Linked DNA regions of Tamandua tetradactyla. The protein of the gene in region 3 purifies or fractionates together with the protein of the main gene of each other region. This does not show direct contact. Links are inferred from orthologs where the notes say so. Each region holds a gene or a part of one and is shown on either strand. Other genes may lie near its edges.

The links.
Region 1: the proteins of AMOTL2 (region 3) and NF2 purify together in Homo sapiens (affinity purification with mass spectrometry; 5 studies listed by BioGRID and IntAct, with this or other methods). This does not show direct contact. The link is inferred for Tamandua tetradactyla from reciprocal best matches to the Homo sapiens genes AMOTL2 and NF2.
Region 2: the proteins of AMOTL2 (region 3) and LATS2 purify together in Homo sapiens (affinity purification with western blotting; 3 studies listed by BioGRID). This does not show direct contact. The link is inferred for Tamandua tetradactyla from reciprocal best matches to the Homo sapiens genes AMOTL2 and LATS2.

The regions. Positions count from the first base shown.
Region 1 is NC_135331.1:33,434,083-33,441,527, reverse strand, and holds the start of NF2 (merlin), read left to right. Parts: upstream 1-4,010; 5' UTR 4,011-4,914; coding exon 4,915-5,028; intron 5,029-7,445. UniProt on the Homo sapiens protein: Probable regulator of the Hippo/SWH (Sav/Wts/Hpo) signaling pathway, a signaling pathway that plays a pivotal role in tumor suppression by restricting proliferation and promoting apoptosis.
Region 2 is NC_135330.1:186,946,147-186,954,763, forward strand, and holds the start of LATS2 (serine/threonine-protein kinase LATS2), read right to left. Parts: upstream 3,298-8,617; 5' UTR 3,082-3,297; intron 1-3,081. UniProt on the Homo sapiens protein: Negative regulator of YAP1 in the Hippo signaling pathway that plays a pivotal role in organ size control and tumor suppression by restricting proliferation and promoting apoptosis.
Region 3 is NC_135341.1:78,174,390-78,182,555, forward strand, and holds the start of AMOTL2 (angiomotin-like protein 2), read right to left. Parts: upstream 3,130-8,166; 5' UTR 3,038-3,129; intron 1,772-3,037; exon of another isoform or gene 1,713-1,771; intron 1,453-1,712; exon of another isoform or gene 1,260-1,452; intron 1,147-1,259; exon of another isoform or gene 625-1,146; intron 1-624. UniProt on the Homo sapiens protein: Regulates the translocation of phosphorylated SRC to peripheral cell-matrix adhesion sites. Required for proper architecture of actin filaments.

The DNA.
Region 1 (7,445 bases), on a different chromosome or scaffold from region 3:
GCAAGTCCCAGTGATGTCCCAGGTAGGGGGTCAAGGTGACACATGGAGGGTGAAGCCCTCAAGTGAGGAGTAAGGGACAGAGTCTGCTTTTTTGATTGGGGCAGGACAGAAAAAGTCACCTTCCCTAATGTATGGGAAGAATTTTTGTTCTCTAGAAAAATCAGATTTGCCGAGAAGGGCAATGTTGGTGCTGACTGGTACATCGATTCAGGGGTGGGTGGGGAGGAGGAATAGGAAGAGATGTTGGGGTGGGGGCTGGCTCAGCCCTTCCAGCTTTCCTTGATGGCTAGTGCAGAGGTGCTCAGAGATTGCTGAAAAGTTCATTTTTCTTGCTCCAGTACATCTGCGGGGCCTGTTTGCAGCGGTATTTCTGATGTGTTCTGTCTTTGGCCACATCCAGGGAGATGGTGAAGTCCAGGATGGGGTCAGAGGAGGAAGAGGATGCTGTGGGGTCCTGTTCTGGGACTGTCCTGGGGATTCAGCTCCTCACTGGTATTAGACCTCCTTTTAAAAAGTTTTATTGTGGATATATGTATCACCCAATTTTCCATTTTAACCATTTTTAAGTGTACAACTCTGTGGCAGTCCCAGTCAGGATAATCTCTTTCTGAGTCACTCATCTGATTGGGGACTTTATATCTGCAAAAAATCCCTCTCACCATGCAAAGTACAAAATCACTGGTGAATATCACACATACCACAAGTCTTGCCCACCCTCAAGGGGAGCATTATTCAAGGGAGTGGGTCACTGGAGGTTATCTTACAATTCTGCCTACCATACTGCTTATCTGTGGGTTCTAATTTCCTTTTTATGAAGCATGTGAATTACTTGTAAAATAAAGAAAAACAGAATAAAAGTTACTAAAAACAAGAACAAAACAAGCAAACCAGTTGCCCATGAAAAATACAAATGCTGCAGCATAAGAGATTTCTCTGGTGGGTCTTTATAGAAAGGATGCTGTCAGAACCTTTGTCAGAATTCCTTGGGGCTAGTTCTTATTACAGCTTCTCTGCAGGACACTACCTTCGTGCCAATGTGTAGGAAAAGTAATTCTGCAAATAGCTACAATGACAATGCAGCAGTCCAGATTTAGGCAGAATGGCCACAGTCTAGAGTTCACATGTAGCATCTAGGACAAATTGACTTAATCTGGGCTCTATAGATGTGCTTTGGAGGAAACTTTCCATGAACTTCTGGAAAGCATATGCAAAATTTTGTGCATGTGTGCATTCCTTTGAGAAGGTCCACTGATTTCATCAGATTCTCGGTAGAATGTTTTTGATTAAAAAAGAGCAAAGAATCACTGCTCTAGGGCAGGGTCCCTTTATTTTGGCACTATTGATATTTTGGGTTGAATAATTCATTGTCATGGAAGCTGTCCTGTGAGTTGCAGGATCCTTAATACCATCCTGAGGCCAGGAGCATCCTCTAGCTGTGACAACCAAAAACCTTCAGACATTGCCACATGTACCCTGGGGGCAAAATCCCTCTCGGATGAGAACTGCAGTATTCTTTGGAGCTCAGAAGAAAGCTTTCTTCCAAGATGTATTAGTTAGGGTTCTCTAAAGAAACAGACTCAACAGGGAACACTCACAAATATAAAATTTATAAAAGTGTCTTATGTGACCGCGGGAATGCAGAGTCCAAAATCCACAGGGCAGGCTGTGAAGCCGACGATTCCAATGGAGGGTCTGGATGAACTCCACAGGAGAGCCTCACCAGCCAAAGCAGGAAGGATTCTTCTCAATCCTCCTTAAAAGGCTTCCAGTGATTAGATTGGGCATCACTCATTACAGAAGACACTCCCCTTTGGCTGATTACAAATGGAATCAGCTGTGGATGCAGTTGACATGATCATGATCTAATTCTATGAAATGTCCTCATTGCAACAGACAAGTCAGCACTTGCCCAACCAGACAAACAGGTACCACCACTTCGCCAAGTTGACACATGAACCTGACCATGACACAAGCTTACTCAGGTTATTGGCAAAATTCAGTTCCTTGGGGTTATAGGACTGAGAATCACTCCCCCTCCCCCACAACACACACACACACACACACACACACACACACACACACTTTGGCATGCATGAGAATCCCCTGGAGGGTTTGTTAGAACAAGGCCCCTGGGTCCCAACCCCAGAGTTTTTGATTCAGTTCTTCTGGGGTGGGGCCTGATAATTTGCTTTTCTAATTAGTTCCCAGGTAAAGCTGACAGTGCTGTTTTGAGAACCACTGGTCTTCTGGAAGAAATGGCTGAATTCGATGTAAATCAGGCTTAAATCTGGATTTAAAGCCGTCTGGGTGGAAGAGGCAGCTCTATCAATTATGATCATGGTAGAGATGATAATTACCTCATTTTAGCCATAACAGTTTCTTCCCGGATAAATCAGGGATAAAATAACTACCAAAAGGAGTTTTGGTAAAGATGAAAAGAAACAAAGTATGCAAAGCACTTTGCAGGGTGCCTTATATTGTAAGCTCTTCATGTATGGTAGCTATTGATTGGGCTCTCATCATTGAGAACATAAGCATTTCCTCATGTCCTGCATTTATTCACTCAGTAGATATTTATTAACTGGTGTCTATGTACTGGTTCTTTCTTAAGATGCTGTACCTTATTTCACTGTACCCTCCTCAAACCCTTATCTGGTGGGTATTATCATCATCTGCTTATTCTTTGTGAATGGCAATTCAATGCCTATATAATATTCCATCTAATTTTATTCCTGGCCCCTCCCTTCTGAGATTCAGACCCATAGGTATACCTGGATGATCTCCCGGAAGGTTGAATTCAAGCTTTTACCTCTAACACACAGTGCCTAGCACCTAGTAGGCCTTCCACAAATAGGAGCTATTACTGGCCACCTACGTTATTTTTTAGTCCCTGTTGTTGAATCCACCTCCTTCCTTTACTCCTCCATTAGCTCCCAGAGTCACTTATTTTCTGTCAGTAGTCTTGGCCCTGGGTTAAAGCTCTGATTTGCTGTCCCAGTGGGGAGGCCACAGGAGAATCGAGTCCTGTTCTTTCACCCGCAGGGAAGAACTGAAGCAATGAAAATGAAGACACTCCCACGCCAAGCCAGTATTGCCTAGAAAAATCAGTTCGGTGGAGACAATTTGCTAGCTGCATCCAGGACATAAAGTTAAGTTCCCCAGATGAAATCTCTCTTGGTGTGCCAGTAAATGATTGCTGAGGCAGGGCTGGTGTTTCATGGCACAGCAGGGGCTTGCCGGGAACAGCTAGATTTATCCATTATCCACTTACAGCAACAGTGTCTGGAGAGTGCTCCAGAAGTGTAATTCACGTTTCGTGGCTGCAACAGGGAGCAATTTGGAAGTCACAACCAGGGAAACATGGTCGTGACACCAGCAGGCTCTTGATCTGCGAGACCTAGGTTCAAATCCCAGCTTTGCCTCTCCCTATTCCAGTAAGTTCACAGTCTTCTACCGAGCCTCTCAATTTCTTCATCTGTAGGGCGAGAGCGATGCTAATGATTATTAACATTTAAGGAGCACTTACGGTGTGCATAACATTGCTTCTATTTGGATAGTAATGATTATTGTAAAATAGGAAAATATAATTTATTAATTTAATACAGAAAGGTGTAATTGCCTCTCACACCCGTTATAACTCTTATAATACTAAACAATAATTAATACACGTGTATAGTTCGAAGATGCAAATCACATAAAGTACAAAATGAGAAATGCTTTCAATTTTACGACAGTATTGGACCTTCAAAAACAGCAGTATCACAGCAGTCAACCTATTGTTTGTCAGACACCGTTCTAAAACTTTATATGTTAACTCGCTTAACATTGCGAGGTAGGCACATTATTATCCCCCTTCGATAATATTATCTCTCCTAAAGCGAAGCAGAGAGATCTGGCTGGATAGTGCCGACAACCTAAGAAGACTCCACAAGCGTTCTAAGTGTTCGTGAGGTCACTATATGTAATTAAGGGCCAAACAGGAATATTCAACGCGTGTCCGAAACGCACTTTCCTACGGCGCGACGCTCGCGCGTGCTGCGTCCAGAAAACAGTGCCTCAGAGGACCAGGGGAGGACCTGGCTCCCTCGCTGGAGCCAGCCCGTGCGTGGGGACGCAAGAAAGGCGCGTCGGGAGCTGACGCCTCAACCAATCTTGCTAGAGAAGGCGTGAGCCTAAGAACAAAAGTGTTCGGAGTGGCTGCTGCTCCAGCCACTCAGGGCCGAGTCCAAGCTCTGCATCTCCAGTTAGGGCGCAACTTCTAATTGATGGAGCCGCTCTGAAGGAGGCGGGACGGAGCTGGAAAGCCCCGCCTCCCTTGGAGTTTTCAACCAACCGCACAGTCGCCGGGCTCCGCAGGGTGGCCCAGCAACCGCCGGGTTCGGTTGCGCTGAGAGAGGGGCCTGAGGGCGGGGCGGGAGCGGGCTGGGGACTCGGGTGAGGGGACGCTTCTCGGGGGCGCGCGGAGCGGGAACGGTGACAGGCCCGCGCGCGCGAGCGCGTCGCTCCCGGCTGCAGCTCGGCCCTGCCACTCCGGTCGGCCGCTGAGAGGCGCGCGGGGTCTGGGCCGCCGCCGTCGGGGAGGGCCCCATTCCCGGAGGACCCGGGGGTCCCGGGCATCCCGGGCGTTCCCGAGCGCCGGGCTGCGCCCGCCCCGTTAGTACTCGCTCGCGTCCTCTACACGCGGCGGGCAGGACCCGCCCCCCGACGCCCCTTTCGGCTCCGGGTTTCAGGGTCTTCGCGGCCCATGCGGGCCGCTAGACGCCCGCGCCGCAAAGACAGCTCCCGGGCCGGCCGGCCGGCCACCATGGTGGCCCTGAGGCCTGTGCGGCTCCTCCAGGGGGGCTAAGAGATCCAGAGCGCAGGCTTCGGGGCGGGGGTGGTGGTGGCAGGGGGCCCGGACCCGACTCCCGCGCCATGGCCGGGGCCATCGCTTCCCGCATGAGCTTCAGTTCGCTCAAGAGGAAGCAACCCAAGACGTTCACCGTGCGGATCGTCACCATGGACGCCGAGATGGAATTCAACTGCGAGGTAACGCCCGCAGCCCCGACTGGCAGCGGTGAGGGGAAGCTGGGCCGAAACCCCTCTCCACCAAGCCCCGGCGCGGGGTTGGGCACCGACCGAGGCGCCGCTGCCACGGTGACAGTCCAGGTGGAAGTGTGAGGGATTCTGCTTACATCACCTGCTGATCGTAGGTAGAGAGGGTTAGAACCAGAAGGGTCTGTCTGGGCTTAAATCCTCGTGTTAAAGGTGTTTTCTCTTCCAGGGGCTTTGAGGGTTTGGGAGAACTTTCTTTCTGGAGGTTGTTTTCATTCATTGCTATTGGAAGAGGCTGGAAGCATCTGTGGCAGGGAATTATCGCTCTCAGTTTCGAGCTTAAGCTCTGAGTTTTTAACTTCATTAGGTAATGGAGTTTTTAACTTCATTAGGTAATATTATTAAGCACCCCAAGTATTGAAAGTTGCATCTTGTCTATTGGAAAGCCTGTCCTTGCTTCCTGTTTTCAAAGTTTAAATTTTCAGGAAAAGATTCTTTGACAGAAAGGATGGTGGCTTCTATTTACTTTTCACTATTACTCCAGGATGATAATAGTTATCGTTGTTGAATACTTTCTAAGTGTTAGTCATGCACAAATTTGATCTTCACAACACAAGGAGGTAGGTACAATTATTATTATCATTACCCCCCCCCAAACTATATATCTAGTAAATGGCAGAGTGGGACTTTGAACCAAGCTTTTAGTCAGCACAGTACTGTTTTCAGGTAATTAAGTTTTTGTTACTCAGAGTGTGGTCTACAGACCACAGCATCAGCAGCCTTGACCTAAGTCAGGGATTGGAAACTTTTTTTTCTGTAAAGGGCCACGTAGTAAATATTTTCGACTTTGTAGGCCATGGAGTTCTCTGTTACAACTACTGAACTCTTTAAGCCTACTGTTAAAGTGCAAAATCAGTCTTAGACAGAATTGACTTCCAGTATGACAATGGGATGGGCTCCACAGACCCACTGGGGTTCTCACCTGCCATGCTGGAGATTGGGCTTCAATTCCTTGAGCCTGCTTATGCAAAAAGAAAAAAAAAAAGGACAACAACAACAAAAACAATTATTTATTTATTTTGGCATGGGCAGGCTCCGGAAATCAAACCTGGGCCTCCGGCATGGCAGGTGAAAACTCTGCCACTGAACCACTGTTGCCCACTCTAAAAACAATTATTTTTTAGATTATTATTATTTTAACAATTATTTTTAGCTTTTGGAAATGGTCCTAAGGGTGAGTAACAAAGAAAGAAAATCTACTCAAAGTCAGTAAGAAAGACAGGCGTCTGTGGTATTTGAACCAAGACAGATCCCTCCCTCCCCACAACCAGCTCAGCAAGGTGGGACTGATAAATCCCAAGACTGGTACAGTCAAGACCACAGGGCTCCCTCTCCCTCCAGCTCGTATTTGGAGGGTTTTCTTCACGGGAGAAGCAGGACTTCAGTGTTTCAAATCCTGTCCCCAGCCACCTGTTGCTGTGGCTAAGTCCTGGGTGAATGTGGTCTAGAGGTGGTAGCTCTAGCACATGAGATGGTGGTTCCATGCCAGGAGACGCAAGCCCAGTGCAAGATGTCCCCAGTGCAAGATGTCACTAAGAGAGCTTGCTAGTATCCCCAAACCCAGTTCCAGAGCCCTAGTTCAGAATCTTTTGTCTTGGTAGGAAAAGCAGGTCATAAAACAGATGTTTCCTAATCTCTTCCCAAAGGACTGACATCGTTTGCTACAGAGCATTGAGAAGTTTGTGCCTAAGGGTGCTCTCAGAGACAGTGGTGTATGTGGAAAATATTCATGGATTTCATGAAAATTCAGCCTAGGTTGTTTGCTGGGTAGTTTTTGGGAAACAATAGGGGAATTGGACCCCTGAAGGAGCCCTTCTGTGATCTGAATAAATATCACATACTGATCTGAGAAGCTATTCCCTCAAAGGAGCCATAGTTCGATTAGGTTAGTTTGTATAGCAGTTTATTTCTCAGGGTATTGGTGAAAATAATAGACACATCAACCAGTAATTAGTGTAGCTTTATGACTGGGTATGGTCAGGGAAAGAGAGGAAGAGACCATTACGCAAACCACCATCATCCGAGGATGACTGGGGCATACCCAAAGCTTTCTGAAGAGCAACATCAGAGCCTTAGTCCTATAGGGAGGGGGAAATAGACTTCCCTAAAATAATCTAGCCTGTCAACAAAACATATACAAGCAAATAACAAGCCCTTCCCCTCTGAGGGGAGGGTAGTACCCAGAATTACTACAATATATTATCTAAAGTGTCTAGTTTCTAACAAATAACATTACAAGGCATGCAAAGAAACAGGAAAATATGACCCAAGTGCTAGAAAAGAAAGCAGGCAACAATTACTCTCTGTGAGAGCAATCAGATGTCCAATTTAACAGACAAAGACTTCAAAGC
Region 2 (8,617 bases), on a different chromosome or scaffold from region 3:
ACTAACAGTATTCACTCAATAACTGAAGAAAAAAAAAAAAAGACAACACAACTTAGTTGGCATGTTCTAGATGGTAACCAATAAACAGTGAATAGCAAACATCAAGCAATGTCAAATTGGCATCTTAAGGTTATCATCATACCCAATATCTTTATTTTCGACATTATCTTTAAGTTGATGCTTTCAAAATGAAACTTGGTTATTTATAAATAAAATAACATTAGCCTTAAAAGCACGGGATAGAACTAACACAATGAAACAAGCAGCCCACCTTCACAAACTCCCAGAGATACCTTTCAGAGTACTCTATGTAAATGAAGCCATTAGAGAGGGCACATTTACATTACACAATGGAGATGGTGCCCCCTGGAGGAGTGCAATTTGGAGGCCCAGTTCCATCCAGACAGTTACTAAACAATTGGCTTTTTAAAAAGGAAGGAGATTCAGAGAATTTTTCCAGCTGGAAATCAGTCGCTTTAGGAATTATCAAGCCCATTTATTTAGTCAGGACAAAGCAAATGCACTGAAATTTATCTTTCAAACTGTTCAAGCCCACTCTTTTTTTAAAAAGGTCATTTAGGAATATTCAAAAATTTGACACTATTACAATGGTGAAAAAATAAAAAAGAAGCCTCTCAAAAATTGTGTTCGACTGGTTTTCTAATATAAAACAGAATCCCAACCACTACCCCAAAGCGTCCCCAAATCTTACTTGACTTCCTGTGGGTTTATGGTGAATTTATCAGCTTACTTACCCCTCCATGGGATTTAGGAGCCCTGAGCTGGCTATTTACAACACAGCATTTAAAATAACAAGGCATCCTCTTATAAAAGCATTCCCCGCCTACCAAAGGAAAATCCCTCCCACCAACCTTGTGATTTGCTGAGAAATATGTACAGCTCCAATTTACACTTAACCCAGAACTATTTCAAACTAAATGGAAAAAGTTTTTTTCCAGTTCTAAAATTCTATGGCTCTAGTAATTCCTCTTAATAATTTTGCATGACAGCCTTCACGCAGACACTTTTTTTAACTGCTTGACATTTTGAGATTTATTAAATGTCCAGCAATTTAATTTCAAAGGAATGCTGATGTGTTCATTAAACAGTATATACCTCAGACAAAATGTTATGAGAGGCTGAATAACTTGGTGTCTTGTTAATTATAGTTCATCTAAAACAGGCCTTATTAACAGTTTCAGCATTCTTATTTTGGAAGATTTGTCTATTATTACCTTACTACAACAGTCGTTAAAGTTAAAGAAAAAACTTATAAAATGCAAAGTAGCTTAGCCTTCTGATTTAGTTACCCCCGAATAGTGATCCATCATGCAGGGAACTTAAGCCAAGAATAAACAGAAAACAGTTAAAAGAGCAAGATCTATTCAGTACAAACTTCCTAATAAGCCACGAGTTATCTTCTCCATTACTAAAGGATGGCCCTCACATGTACTAAATTAATATTTTAACCAGAATATCTGTACCAGAATCACACACATTTTGTGGCTTTTCATTGAAATCTCAGTATATACAAGTTTCTTACTAAAAAGTGTGCAACCTTCCTAAAGAACGTACCTATTTGCTAAATACTTTGTGAAGAGAGTAGTCCAGCTTCTAGTTCGGATTTTTACCTGCTAAATGTATACTCTCTGGCTGTAACAGTTAAGGTTAAATAATTTTTAAAAGCCTTAGCCTACCACCCTACTAAGAACACTCTCACTTATCCTACAGAAAAGTGAAACTGCAAAAGTTCTCGCTAATTTTTTTTTTATATACAACGAAATCTACACATAAAGTGTAACTCGTGACTCTGCTTGCAAGAGTATTCCTCGTCCCACGGTCTCCAAACGCGCTAGGAGCCTTGCTTTCCCCAGGCCGTGTTTTGGGGAGACTGTGCAGCTCCTGACCCCAGTAACCCGGGTCCCGCTGCGACTGCCCGGCGACCCCGGGCCAATAAGGTGTGTCCTACCTCTACCGGGGTCTCCGCCCGCCTTGACCCGTGCGCACTGGGGAGCTGCGATAAACCCTCCACCCGCGGCTCCGATTAGGCCCTTCTGCCCACCCCGAGGCTGCACCCCCGGGAGATGCAGTTCCTGAAGTTTCCAAAATCAGGCGCAACGAAAAGAGATTGGCAAGGATATTGGCCATATCGGAATCGGATCTCCGGAGTTTGGCTGGAGAACTAACCCCTTGTGAAGTTGTCAGAAAAGCTAGACTAGCCCCAGAAAAGTCCTGCTAAACCAGGACGCAGGACAGGCACGTTATGCAACTGCCACCACTCTCACCGCCGCGAAAGCGCGCCTGAAACTCGCACTGGGTCCTGCGAAGACTCGGAGGCCCACGCGGAGAGGCCGGGAGCACAGGGCTGGCCGGAGAACCCAGGAGCCAGCCAGGCTCCCCCCGCCACCTCCACCCACGGCCGCGGCCTGAGAGGGGCGGGCGGCCAGGGGCGCGGGGACAGCACCCGGGCGCGGAACCGGCGCAGCTGTCAGGACCGCCCCCCACCCAGCCGGGCCTGCGCGCCCTCGGGTGCGAGCGCCCAGTTCCCCTCCGGAAAGTGACGGCGAGCGGCGCGCCCCGACAGCCCTGCGGGGGTACCCCGCGCACGTCGCGAACCCCGCGCCCTGATCCCGGGGCGGCCCACTGCTCCGACCCAGTGGGACGCGGCGGCGGGCGCACAACAAAGCGGCGCAGCCCCGGGATCTGCTCCCGGCCCGGCCCCCGCCCCGCCGCAAACTTCCCGGGTTCCGAGAGGCCCCGAGGACCCGCCGCCGGGGTGGGGAGGGGGGAGGGGGTCCCCGACAGCCCGGCGCCCCTTACACGCGCCGGCCAAGGGAGTCCAGTGGAGACAAGGCGGCGGAGCCCCCACCCCCACCCCCGCCCAGAAAGTTCCTGCGCCCTCTCCGCCCCCCACCCCCGCCGGAGCGGCCGGGCCGAGCCGGACGCCCCTCCCGGAGCCTCCGCGGCCGCCGACAGCCGGGGGACAGGAAGCCTCGAGCTCCGCCGGGCCTCGGCGAACTTTGGACAACTGAGCCGCCCCCGGGCCGCCACCCCACCCCCGCGCCCCTGGCGCCTCCTCACCTCCGGGGCGTCTACACGCTCGGGGGGGTCCTCGCGCGCGACCCCGTGGCCCCTCGCGCCGGGAGAGCCCGCACCGGGGCCGGGAGCTGCCGCTGGCCCCGCAAGGAAGGGGGAGCCCCAGCCAACGGCGGCGGCGCGGGCAGCGGCTGCTCCATCTTCCCGAGGCGCTCACGCCGCCGTTCCAACGCGCAAACCCAAGTGGGACATTCGCTACATTGTTGGCATTCCACGGGCGTCACGTGACCCCGCCTCCCGCGTCACTCCCGGCCGCATACCAGCCCGGGCGGGGCTCCCGTCGGCCGCGAGGTCCTGCTGCTCGGCGGCCCTGCTGCTGGGCGGCCCGGCCGGCGGGCTGTGCTCGCTGCCCCGGGGCCGCCGCCTGGCCCGCCGGCCGGCAGATACCCCAACTCCAGCCTCGCCCTCCCTCGACTGCACTTCTGTGAGAAGTGACAGAGGCAACTCTGTCACTAGTTTCCTTAAGTGTCTCACACCGGGCTTGGTGAAGAAAGTTAACAGGGGCGAAGGCGCCTCCAACTTACAAGAAAGGGCCAACGACTAAAATTAAAGACAGGGCACACAGCTGTTGGGATCACGGAATCAAATAAAAATAAAGAAGGGCGCCTAATGCCTCTCGAAATTTAATCAGATTTAATTTAATCAAGCCTCCCTGCTCTGTGTATTTTGTGTATGAGCAGGCTTCTGTGGCGTACAGAGCTGTGTAATGTATATGAACAAGAGTGATTGTGCTTTTTGTATGTCAACTTCGTGACCATGACACTCTTTCCATTTGGGGGTTAGGGATTTGGCAAAAGGACATTTGTAGGAATTGTATAGAGATACGGAGTGGGAATAAGAAACTGGAGATCAAAGCCTTAATCTGTTTCTGGCTCTGCTAACATCTAGTCCGTGGTAAAAGCATTGGGGAGGGCTGTTATGGCTTTAAAAGGCAATCCAATTTCCTTTTTAATTAATAAACTCTTTTGAAGGTTTTTAATTTTAATCTTGGAAGAAAGAGTAATGAAAATCATTATCTCGGTACTATTTTAATACCGTAGCCAGCCTGCAGTCCTGGTCCACCCTTCCTCCTGTACTTGGTCTCTGTAGAGTGCACCCAGGCTTTCAGGCCTGCCACTGTCTTAGCACATCTAGGAAATCTCCCTGATTTCTCACTTCTTTAAGCTCTCATAGCTAAACCGCCATCATGCCATTTAGAATTCAATTTCATTTGTAAAAAATCTTACACTGTAGGAGATATTCTATAATTGAGCCCCTCTTGCATTCACCAATAATATCTCTCTGTGTCTTTTCACTCATACACACTCAGGTCTTACATTCTCCACCCGGACCCTAAGCCATGTGATCAGCTGCAATCGTATGCATGTGTTTAAAAGTCCTACTCCTGTTCTCTCTTAAAAGGTGAAAAAAAATTGTCAAATAAAATACTGTAAACTGAAGGGAACTTAATGACAGTAACGTGTGAAATGCCTAATAAAATTTTGCCATTACAATGACTGTTATAGCATGGTTTGCAATAGCGACAAATCAGGAGAAACCCAAATGTCCAACAGTAGGGGAGTAGGAAAATAAAAGGTGTATATTCAAATGATGGAATTTATACACTAGCTAAATGAATGAGTTAGTTCTATGCTTGTCAAAGGATAAGTGATCAAGGATAGAATTCAAAACCAATGTGGAGTGAAAAAAGGCAAATTGCAGAAGTTCATCTACACTCTGATACTGTATTTATAAATAAAAATTGCTACAGAAACTATACTACACTTTATAAAAGGATCGCCATGGACAGCAAGAGCACACACCAAATCCATGACAGCTGTTGTCTATCAGAAGGAAAGAGAAATGACACAGGGGAGAGAAAAATAAGGACTTCAATTTTATTGGCATGCTTTTCCTTTTAGTTAAAAGAAAAATGAAGCAAAACTGGAAAAATCTTTAAAATTTGTTTATTCTGAGTGCTAGGTTCATTAATGCATGCTATAGTCTTCTTTGTGTTTTTTTACATTAATTTTTTTTCATATATGTATATACACACATATACATATGTAGAGAGAGACTAAGACAACTTGGAAACAAGTAAATTTCCATATGGGGAATATTCTGATTCATGACTTTGTGGATGTGTGTTTACTGATGTGGAGTCACTCATTCTCTCTCACTCTGTTTTTTTTATTTTATTTTATTTTATTTTACATGGGGAGGCCCCTGGAAATGAACCCGGGTCTCCAGCATGGCAGGCAAGAACTCTGCCACTGAGTCATCACTGCCAGCCCTCTCTTTGTTTTTGAGTGTCTGCTATAAGCCATGTGTTAAGCCAGGCACTAGGAGTCACAGAGAGCAAAATTACATGATTTAGCCCCTGGTGGAGCTTCCAGTCTGGTAAATATGCTCAAAAAAAAGCAAGTGACAAATTGCAAAACAATAAATATATATTTTACATATATTAAAATCTAGAAATGCATACAGCAAAATGTTAAAAGTGGCAGTCTCTAGGTGTAGTGATTCTGGGTGATTTTTGTCTTATAGTTTCTAAGTCCTCTACAGTAGAATTGTAAACCACAAAAATATTTTTAAATAATCAGCTAAATCACTACAACCATATCATTTATTCGGGTGAAAACCTCTTGGTTTAATTCTAAAACCACAAGGCCAGCTGAGCACAAACCCTATAATAGTTGCAAATTTGCAGTCTATAAATTAATGAATCAACATAGGCTATATGTATGTACTCTTGCTCTGAACCAAACACTGATCTCAGTCTGTGCATTACCTCATTGAATCCTCAGAACAACCATGTCATTATTAACCCCATTTTGTAGAAGACGACCCTGAAACACCAAGAGCCCAAGGAATTTGTCCAAGATCAAAGAGCTGAGCTTCAAACGTGGTAGTCTAAGTAGGAGCTGGGAAACACTGCATTGTAAAAGCTCTCTCAAGGTGATCTCGAGAAGATATGATTACACTGTGCTTATAAATAAGGAAACTTAAACCAAATTCACTCCCTTACACCTTGTCTGAGGGAAGAGAAATAAACTCTGTGGATCAGAAAGAGGGTTTCCCAAAGGTATGTGCCTCCAGCACCAACCAGGGCAAAGAAGTACAAGGAATTCCCTGTAAAGCAAGGCCCCTGAAGTCCCAGATGTGGGTAGAGGTGGTCTCTGTAGAGACCTGAGGCTACCTGCCCACACTCCTTGGCTCTGAATGCAAGAAACCTGGTTACCAGCCCAGCCTCCCTATACCTTAATCCTGGAAAGCAGGTGTTGGCCTTTAGGCACAGTTTTTGGCTTCTTGAAAAGAAAAATTCCTCCTTGTTTGTAATCAGTGTGGAGGAGACTTAGCAAATCTGCCTAACTACAGAGAGATGCATTCTGTGGGGAGGAGTGAGAAAGCAGAGTGGGGTCCATTTATAAAAGGCCAAGAAAGACAGGAAGAAAATGAGCTACCCAAGATTTGTTTAATTTGTTTGAGGCTGGTTTCATAGCCATATATTTTGTCTCCTTAACTAGATTATAAATTCCCCCCTCCCCAAAACTGCATAAAGAGACTCTTAAAATAGCTAAATTCAATGGATTGAATGCATTCTTAAAGGATGCATTAACGCGCCAATATCAAAGTTTAAAATGCCATCATTTTCCTGAACCAACCACTCTGGGCCAGACAGGGAGATATCCTGTTCCAATCGCCTTTGGAGTTTGGGCTTCTGCACGCTTGGGGGAACTTGCAGAGAAGAATTAACAATATCATTCCTCTTAGTTGGGGGCTTCTTTTCAACGATGAACTCTTTTTTTTTTTTTTAACATAATAAAATTTGGATACCAGGGGGAAATCCTCAGTGTAAAATTTCAATTCTTACATGTTTCCCAATGTTAAAATTATGATAGAGTACACTTTTTTTCTGATTTTAATTTATTTTTAAATGCTTAACTTCTAGCTATTTTGGAAAACAGAATCTCCTGGAAAACGCGGTGAAAACCCCTTGTGCAGATAAAGGAGAAGGTCGAGAGTCCCAGAAAGTTGTGCAGGGTGACTTGCCATTCCTAGGACCTGCCCTTCCAGCTGCTTTCAGTGACATGGAGCACAGCTTCATTCTCTGAATAGCCACTCTGCTTCTCAGATGAGTAACCAAGTATGTGATTGCATAAGTGAGAATTGCTCAATAATTTGAGAAGATTCATTCCCAGAAGAGCTCAAAGAAACACTGTCAAGATACGAATCACATTCTGCATTTAAAGAATTCTTATGTTGACACTTTACATTACTAAGAGAAGGATTGCTAAAACAGACTTTCTTTTCTTACTACCTCCTGTTGGTTTACTTTTTATGCTGCCTGAGCTATGACAGCAACGCCAACTATTTACTTTATTTCTCATTTCATTTATAGTCAGCTGCAAGTTCTGTTTCCTTTGCAGACATGAGCAAAATGGTGTTGTGTCTGTAACTGTGTAACTGAAAGAAAAATCCCACTGAAAAGGTGAAGTTTTACTTTATCTATAGGCTTCAAAACTTTCCATTAAAAAATCACATTGAATCTTGTGGGATAAACATTGATAACACTTGCTTTAGGGAGAACAAAAAAGTGTAAAGTCCAAACCCTTGTCTCAAACTTTTTTCTATAATAAAATTAACATTTTCAAAGTCACTGGGGAAACAGCTGAGTTAATCTAAATTGGCAATAAATATTTAATTGTGTAATTGCAAGAGAACCATTTTCACATTCCCTTTTTAGCTTTGAATTTTAAATTAACTACTAAATGTTGTTTTGGTCATTTCTTAGCAGTTGCTTTTAAGACCAGCCATTTTACTTTATCAGCCAGATCAGAAAAGAAAAACTGAGCCTTATCTGTTATCTTCTGCATGATTCATAAATGGGTTTTGATCACAAAAGTGATGAGATTATGATAAGGTGGGTTCACATGCAGAGGCAGGAGGGGGTCAGTGACAAAGAGGCTGCCAAATTTCGGAGAGAAAAGGAAAATCTAAAAAGTCAGGAAGCAGTCACTGCAGATTGTATTTGATAGTTGATAACTCCAGGCCAAGAAGAGTTTCTGGGTTTGGAGCTGGAACTCGAAAAACTCTGTCCCAGGGCTAATACTGCTTCAGAAAGACAGAGGTGTGAGGAAGAACTGATGTTTGAGGTAAAGATACCTGGAAGGGGAGAAGGGCAGAAACAAAGTCACGAGAAAAGCCTGGTATTTAAGGCATGCAGAGAATGGACTTCGGACAAAGAAGGGAGGTTGTTAGAGAAAGAGGGACATGAAGTAAACAGAAAAACCGAGCAAATCAGATGGCATAGCCCTGTAATCAGGGAAGGCAACCTCTGGGAGCCGCACGCAGACCTCACCCTACAGCCAGCAGGAAAATGGGGACCTCAGTTCTAAAATCGCAAGGAATTGAATTCTGCCAATGACCAGAATGATCAGGAAACAGATCTCTCCCCTGCCCCCAAACCCCCCAGAGTCCCCAGAAAGGAGTGCAGGAAACCGATATCCTGCTTTTACTTTGGCATGAGCCATACTGGACT
Region 3 (8,166 bases):
GAGCAGCCATTCCCAGTTCATTCCCTCCTGCCCAGAATTCCTGCCACCCAGAGCTGGGGAGAGGGGAATGAGCCCGGGGTGGGGGTGGAGGGCACCTCTGAACCCAGCTTTCCCGACTCGCAGTCCACGCCCCTCCCCCTCCACTCGAGGAATGGAGACACAAGACCCCAGAGTTACCAGAGACAAACCAAACAACCGGGAGTCAATTTGCCCTCGCGTTTCATCATCTGCAGGGCATTTCCTAAATTAATCACTGTCTGGGCTGGCTGTGGCGAGGAGAACTGGGGAGCGGCAAGAAGGAATGCGGAGCCCTCCCGACAGATTCCGGCTCCCGATGCTGTGATGGGAGCAGGGCACGCCCCCGGGGGCTTCTCGTCCTAGGGGTTTGTCCCGGCCAGGCCCCTCCGGATCACGTCTCTTCTGGTACCAAAGGGCTGGGCCGTTACTCAGACCCGCGCCCGCGACCCGGCGGCGAGCCTCTCCCTTCCTAAGCAAGCAGGCGCCTCGGGTCCCGGCCTGAGCCCACGCTCGCGCAAGCGAGCAAACAAAGCCAGAGGCAATTACTTGCACCTCACCCGAGCCCGCGACGCCGCCCGACCCCGAATCCCGGCCGACCCCGAGCACCTGGTGGCCGCCGCGGTCCCCGGGGCAAGCGGGCGAGCGCAGCCGGAGGCCCGGCGAGGTCTTTAAGCGTCCCGGGTCCGCCTCCCTCCGGCCCTCCCTCGCCCTCTTTGTTTTCCAAATACTCCGGTGCTGACGTCACCGGGCTGGACGGCTGGCTGCATTCTTCCCAAGTGAGAGCCGGGCCGTGGCTCCAGAGAGGATTTTCCAAGGAAGACAAAGAGGAATTCTTGGGCTGGCTGGGAGGTCAAGACACCTGTGAGCCCCACCCCCGCGTCCCCCGCCTAATCTAACCAGCCCCCAGGGCCCTGCAGCTCGAACAAGAGGCGGCGCTCCCCCCTCCTCCCCGACCTGCGACCCCAAACACGCACCCAGCTCTCCCCGGAGTGTGCCCCTTACCACTGCCCCTGGGGACCCGAGCGCCTCTGACAGCTCCGCGGGCGCAGGGCGCGGCGCCACCCGGGAGGAACTACCCTTCCCCGGCTTTGCGGATGCCCCGAAAGGACGCCCCGAGCCCTGAGGACGCTCGGACCGCCGGGATCCGGTTCCCGGAAAAGGCCGGGTTGCCCCGGAGCCCCCGCTTGGGCCGGGGCGCATTTCCTCGGGCACTCTCGGGAGAGCAGAGGGGCCTTCCTTACCGCTGCGGCCCGTGGGCGCCCGGCGCCGTCACACCCGGCGACCCGACCCCGTCCGACTGGGCTCAGCTGGGCGGCGGAGGTGTGCACCCGGCGGTGGCGCCGACGCTCTGGCTGCTCCGGGCCCCAGCGCGCAGCCCCAGGGTCGGCCCGCGCGGGAGGCGGCTGCTATGCCAGGAATGTGAGAGTTTCAGGTTCCCCCTTGGGATCAAAGCGAACCACAAATAACCTCTCGGCGCGCCGCCCTCCTTCGCCCTCCGCCTCCTCCCTCTCCCTCCTCCCGGCCCTCGCCTTCCTCCCGGCGGGCGGCGCTGCGGGCGGGGCGCTGGGCGGGCTCTGAGCTGCGTCCCCCGGGCCGCCCGGGACCCCCGTGGCCGCGCTGCTCCCGCCCCCCACCCGTCCCCCACCCGCCCCCCGGCCTTCTTGTCCGAGCCGTTGGTGCCGATTTTCTCCCACCTCGCCACCCGTCCCCTCGCTTTCCTCTCACTCCTTCATCCCTAAAAGCATTGGCGAGACGACACGGAGCGGTGTACACGGCGTGTCCCGCAGAGCATCCGAGGGGCGGGGGCTGGTGTGTGTGTGCGTGTGTGTGTGTGTGTGTGTGTGTGTGTATGGGGTGCGGGTGGGCTGCATAGAGGTCCGGGTCCGCCCGGCCTGGGCCCCCCCGCAGGCGGAGACGGCTCTGCGTTCAGCCGCGAGCCTCTTCCCTACCCCTACCCCCCGCCCCTCCCCGCTCTGCTTTCACGCCCAGCGGCAACCTTTGAATTACATTTTTATTGTTTACAAACACCTTCGCCAGCTCTTTTAGGACCTGTCTCCCTAAGGAAGTGTGAATCTGGGCTGAAAAAATCCACTGGTTAATTTGACGCGCCTAACCAACTGAATCACCCGCCGCCAGGCGCTCGGCCCCACTCGTCCCCCAGGTGGTCACCAGCGCCCCTTTACGCAGAGCGCCTTGGGCCACCACTGCTTTTTGCGGCAGTCATCCCATCCAGCACCCCCCAGTTCCCCAAGGGAGCTCTGTTATCATCCCTGTGTTACACGGGAGGAAACCGAGGCTAGCAGAGGCTAAGTAGCTTGCCCAGAGTCTAATTCATTCTAAAAGCTCTTCAGTGGCCACCAGATCCGAGGGTGCCGAGGAGGGCAGGGTAGGTGCTGCTATCCCCCCCAGCCCACCCCATGGCCACCTGCCCTCTCCTGGTTGCAGCCTCTTCTTCACCTCCCCCCCCCCCCCCACACACACACAGCCTGCCTGCCAGCGGCTCTCCCTTGGGTCCCCTGCTGCTGCTGCTGCAGTTCTTCCACGTGGAATCCGCTCCTCTGCCCCCATGCCCCTTCCTCCTTCCACCCTCCCACCAGGCTGGTCACTTGTGGAAACCCCATGCCTTCCTCCCCAGGGCTCTGTTCTATCTCTGAGCCCTGACCACACTGGGCCCTCCACAGGTCCACGGGGGGTCTACCCCTGGCCGGGTCCTCCCCCCACCGCTTATCCCCCCACATGGAGTTTGCAATTCCCAGAGCTGCTGGAGGAGGTGGAGACAAGAAAAGTAAAGTCCCCCACAAGACAGGTATGCGCATCTGCATTTCAAATAGTGATTAGATTTGGGATGAATGAGAAAACAAGCCATTGGGCCAAGCTAAGGGAGGCTCGCCCCCCTCCCCACTAGCAGCACATCACAAAGAGAAGCCATGGCCAGGGTGCCCCTGTGCCAGCTGGGATAGACTAGGTAGGAATTTTAGAAATGAAAAGGAAGAGAGGAAAGGGCCCCAGGCTGTCTTACCCCCCGGCTGTGGATGGCGCTCCTCTTGGAAACACTGGACGGAGGTGTGAGAGTGTGTGTGTGTGTACGTGTGCACTCTGGGGTTGCAAAATCAGGGGAAAGGCCACATGGTGCAGTCCTGTCTCTCAGGGTGGGGGCAGGGAGCACCTGAAGAAATGCCTGACCAACATTCCTGAGATGGTTGCAGAAAGGGGCCAGCTCAGGGCAGCTAGTCAAAGAGGTAGGTCTTGCAGTGGGAAGCCTGCTTCGGCCTCTGAATAAGGCTCCCCCATGCTGATAACCTCTGTGTCCCTGGGGCTAAGGAGGCCTGGGGAGAGCCAGCCAGCCACAACAACAGAGAGGGGAGAGGGACCCCAAAACCTGGATGGGAAATTTACAGGTTTGTTTTTTTTTTTCCCTTCTTTTCTCCTCCACCTGTAAGGATGGAGGACAGAGCTTCTGCAGGCAAGGCAGGGCTGAGACCTCAGTGGATTGGAGCCTGCCTGAGCTGGCAGCCACCCCTGACTCTGCAGGGTGGTTGGGTGAGAGGGTGACCATAGCTCAGATGTGCTGGAGGCAGGTGTGCATAGGTGAACTCTAGGTTGGTCAGCCTGCTAGCACATAAATCTTCACTTATATCAGGGGAAGAGTGGCTTGCCACTGTGTGTGTATCTGACACCGAGTGAGCCAGTGCTTTCCTCCCAGCTTTGTCTCTCTCAGGCCTGGCCCACCTTGTCAGCCACCCCCATCACCCGCCCCTGCCCTCTGGCACAGGTAATGATTCTTCCCTGATGACAGTGTGGTGTGGATGGCTGGGTCTGGAATTCTGCCCAGGAAAGATGCAGAGGTGACCCAATTCTCAGAGGGAGCCAGGCCTTTGGTGTGGAGAGCGCAGCTCCCTGGGGTGTGGCCGCATAGTGGGTGTGGACAGGGCTTGCGGGAACCAGGTGCACACACCCACATCCCTCCTTAGCCTGTGCCTGGGACTGTGCCTGTGCTCTGGTCTGCACCCACAGAAATACAAAGGAGGGTGCTTAGCTGACCCTCGTCACAGCCCCTTCTGGGGAGCTGGGAAGGGAATGACCCCTCCTTACTTCCCAAATGGTCAGTCGATGAAGGAGGGGCTCCAGGCCCAGGGGGCACCATCAAAGGGGACTCTGCTGGTTGTGAGATTCCTCCTTCCAACCTTTCCTGGAGAATTTGACTGAACAGGAGGCCCACCAGCATCTGGGGCAGGAAGCAAATTCACGGGAAGAACCTGCACATTGGGGTGGGAGTTCCAATGCTCCAGTTCCAGGATCCAAAGCGGGATCCAGCTACTGCACCTCTCCCCTAGTCCGCCCCCTCTGCCCCCGGAGGTTTTTGCAGCGCCTTCTTTCACTGTCACCCCTGCCCCCACCTCCACTCCCAGGCATCAGGCCTGGAATTCGCATCAGGCAGAGTTTGCCTCGTGGAGTCTGGCGTTTACTCAGGCGGTTAGTTCCTCCTGAGATGGAACATCTGTGACATGGAGCCCCACAATCGTTGAGGTAAGAGGGCGCTGCCTTAAAGAGGGAAGGAGCCCCGACTTTGCAGAGTGCACGCGACTCTTGGTCCCCAGCCTTGCTTTGCAGCCCTTTGTTTCCAGGGCTTCTGCAGGCCCCAGGCTGAGGTGTTTCCTGCAGGGCGAGGTCCCACCTAGAGAGGGGGCTCTCCTCACCTCTCCCTCTTCCTTCCGCTTCTCTGGGGTCTATAACTGCCCAGAACCTCCGCCATTGTGTCGCGCACAGAAAATGTGTCTAATGAGTAGCAATGAGTAAATGGACAAAGTGGGGGACTATATTTCCCTTCAGTTTATTCCTGCCTAGGTGGCCATCCAGTTGGGGAAGAGGACAGGTGAGGGCCTTATTCCAGGCAGTGAAGAAGGCAGGACCACTTAGAAATATTAACACCTGCCTTCTCTGCAAAGCTACCTTGTGCTGATTTGGTGGACATGCCATTGTTGCCTGGAAAGACCCTCTGCTTTTGGGAAGAGGCCAACTGTGACAGTAGGGAGGACCTCCTAGGATGTAGGGTGGAGCCCAGAGCATGCCTTTTGCTACTGGGGCAGGGCCAGTGTGATGGAAGAGTGCCCCCTAGTGACCCTCATCCCCAGGAGAAAGTGTCAGCTGGGCTCAGGGCTCCCAAGGTAGCCCTTGGGTCCTTGATTGGGGGGGAAGATGTTTGGACAGGGTTTCATCCTGGGGAACAGGACTTTCTCCTGTAAGAACGGGCCCGAGTTGTGTTTCTGAACTTTCTTCTTGCTTTAGCCTGCCTTGGGCTTTCACACAGTCTAGCAACCTTCTGTCATTGACATTGAGAAAACACCTTGAATGCACTCACTTACTCACTCACCGTTCCATGCAGTTATTTGCTCTTGGATTTTGTGTATTCATTCGACAAATATTTCCTGAGCTCCCACTCTGAGCCAGGCCCAGTTTATTGAAGGGGGTTTCCATCCTTGTAGAACTCATGGCCTGCTGTGTTCACAGTCACAACAGGCAAGTACACTACAGAGTGGAGACTCCCATCTTGAAGGAAGGTACCTGGGCATGTGGAGGAAGTCATAGCAGGCTTCCTGAAGGAGGCGTTTTACAAGCTAAGTGCTAAAGACCAAGTAGAACTGTGACATGTCAACCCATAGGCTGGGATCTGGAAAACCTGCATAGAAGCACAGATCCATATCCCTTGGTTTGCTAAAACAGGTGCAGAAAGTATTGAGCCATTCTTGAGTGGCTGCTGACCTCCTGCCACTTATATCTCCTTTCCCAGGAGTAATTCTAGTTTGCTAGCTACTGGGATGCAATATATGAGAAATGGAATTGCTTTTAAAAAGGGGAATTTAATAAGTTGCTAGTTTACAGTTCTAAGGCCAAGACAATGTCCCAATTAAAGCAAGTCTATAAAAATGTCCAAATTAAGGCATCCAGGTAAAGATACCTTGGTTCAACAAGGCTGATGAAGTTCAGGGTTTCTCTGTCCACTGGACAGTCACATGGTGAACAGGGCAACATCTGCTAGCTTCCTCTCCAGGCCTCTTGCTTCACGAAGCTCCCCAGCAGCGTTTTTCTTCTTTATCTCCAAAGGTCTCTGGCTGGTGGGCTCTGTGGTTCTCTCATCATACTGTAGTGGTTCTGTGGCTCTCTCCTCATTCTCAAAAGGCACTCTCTCCAAAATATCTCCTCTTTTATAGGATTCCAGTAAACAAATCAAGACCCACATAGAATGGGTGGAGATATGTCTCCATCTAATCAAATTTAATACCCACAATTGATTGAGTCACATCTCCATGGAGATGACCTAATCAAGTTTCCAACCTGTAGTACTGAATAAGGATTAGAAGAGACCGTTGCTCCTACGAGATTGATTAGGATAAAACATGGCTTTTCTGGAGTACATAAATCCTTTCAAATCAGCACAGGGGTAACAAAGAGATACAAGGAAACCTTTGGGGGTGATGGCTATGTTTGTTATCTTGATTGTGGTTTACACATATAACAAAACTTATTGATAAATAAGTTATTTAAATAGATGCAGTTATTTTATATCACTTATTCCTCAATAAAAAATGAAAAAAAAAGTCAAATAGTACCATAAGGCTTATAATAGATGCAGTTATTTTATATCACTTATTCCTCAATAAAAAATGAAAAAAAAAGTCAAATAGTACCATAAGGCTTATAATATAAAAAGCAGTCCCTTGCCTCGCTCTTCTCCCCACCAAGTCCCATTCCCAAGAGGCACCCACTTTCAACTCTTTTAGATGTCATGTTATTTCACCCATATATTTGTTAAAAAAAAATCCACAAATTCTTATATATCATGGTTTTTCTGTTTTAGGTGTTATCTATCTATACTTCCTAGATGAAAGATAAGGGTCTAGGTGGCTTAAACACACATAAACACTTCCTTCCCCTCACCTTCTTAGAATAGTCATGTGACACTTTCTGGATAAATTACTATTCAATGTTTATATCATTATGACTGTAAATATTGTGAACAGCTGAATTACCTAGTGTCCCATGATTATATTTCCTGTCTTACATATTTTTTTTGTTGTTTTTATTGGAGTTCAATATTTACTTCACTTCTTCATTTGCTTGGTTTTCTATGTATTTCTCCTAATTTATGCCCGTACTGATGAACAGAATACCACTGGTATTGAGTCACATCTCCATGGAGATGACCTAATCAAGTTTCCAACCTGTAGTACTGAATAAGGATTAGAAGAGACCGTTGCTCCTACGAGATTGATTAGGATTAAAACATGGCTTTTCTGGAGTACATAAGTCCTTTCAAATCAGCACAGGGGTAACGAAGAGATACAGAATACCACTGGTATTCTGTTGGGTCCATTTTGGTTCTGGTGGCATCCTTCCCAGAGGATAAGGATGGGCTGCTCTTGGTTCCCACCAGAGAGCCTGCATCCCAACATCTCCCTCCATCCCTATCATGAGCCTTCCCCTTGCTTCCCTTCTTTTTGGTGGATTGCTTGGGTTCCTCTTTTTGGATTTAGTCTTCTAGTAGCTTCCTAAGGATGGATCTGTGGGGGGGACCCTTTGAAACCTGAGTCTCTGAAAATGTCTTTAACCTCTCACGCTATTGATAGTTTGCTGGGTATAAAATTCTAGCTAGACATACTTTTCTCAGTGTATTTTGAAGGAGCTGCTTCATTGTCTTCTTTTTTTTTATTTATTAAATTAATTTTTAAAAATATGACAAGAAAGAAAAACAAACATTCTTAACATATGATCATTCCGTTCTACATATATAATCAATAATTCACAATATCATCACATAGTTGCATATTCATCATCATGAATTTGCATCAATTCGATCAAGAAATAAAAAGACAACAGGAAAAAATTCATACATACAATACCCCTTACCCCTCCCTTTCATTGATCACTAGCATTTCAATCTAAATGTATTTTAACATTTGTTCCCCCTATTATTCATTTTTATTCCATATGTTGTACTCATCTGTTAACAAAGTAGATAAAAGGAGCATCAGACACAAGGTTTGCACAATCACACAGTCACATTGTGAAAGCTGTATCATTATATAATCATCTTCAATAAACATGGCTACTGGAACACAGCTCTACATTTTCAGGCAGTTCCATCCAGCC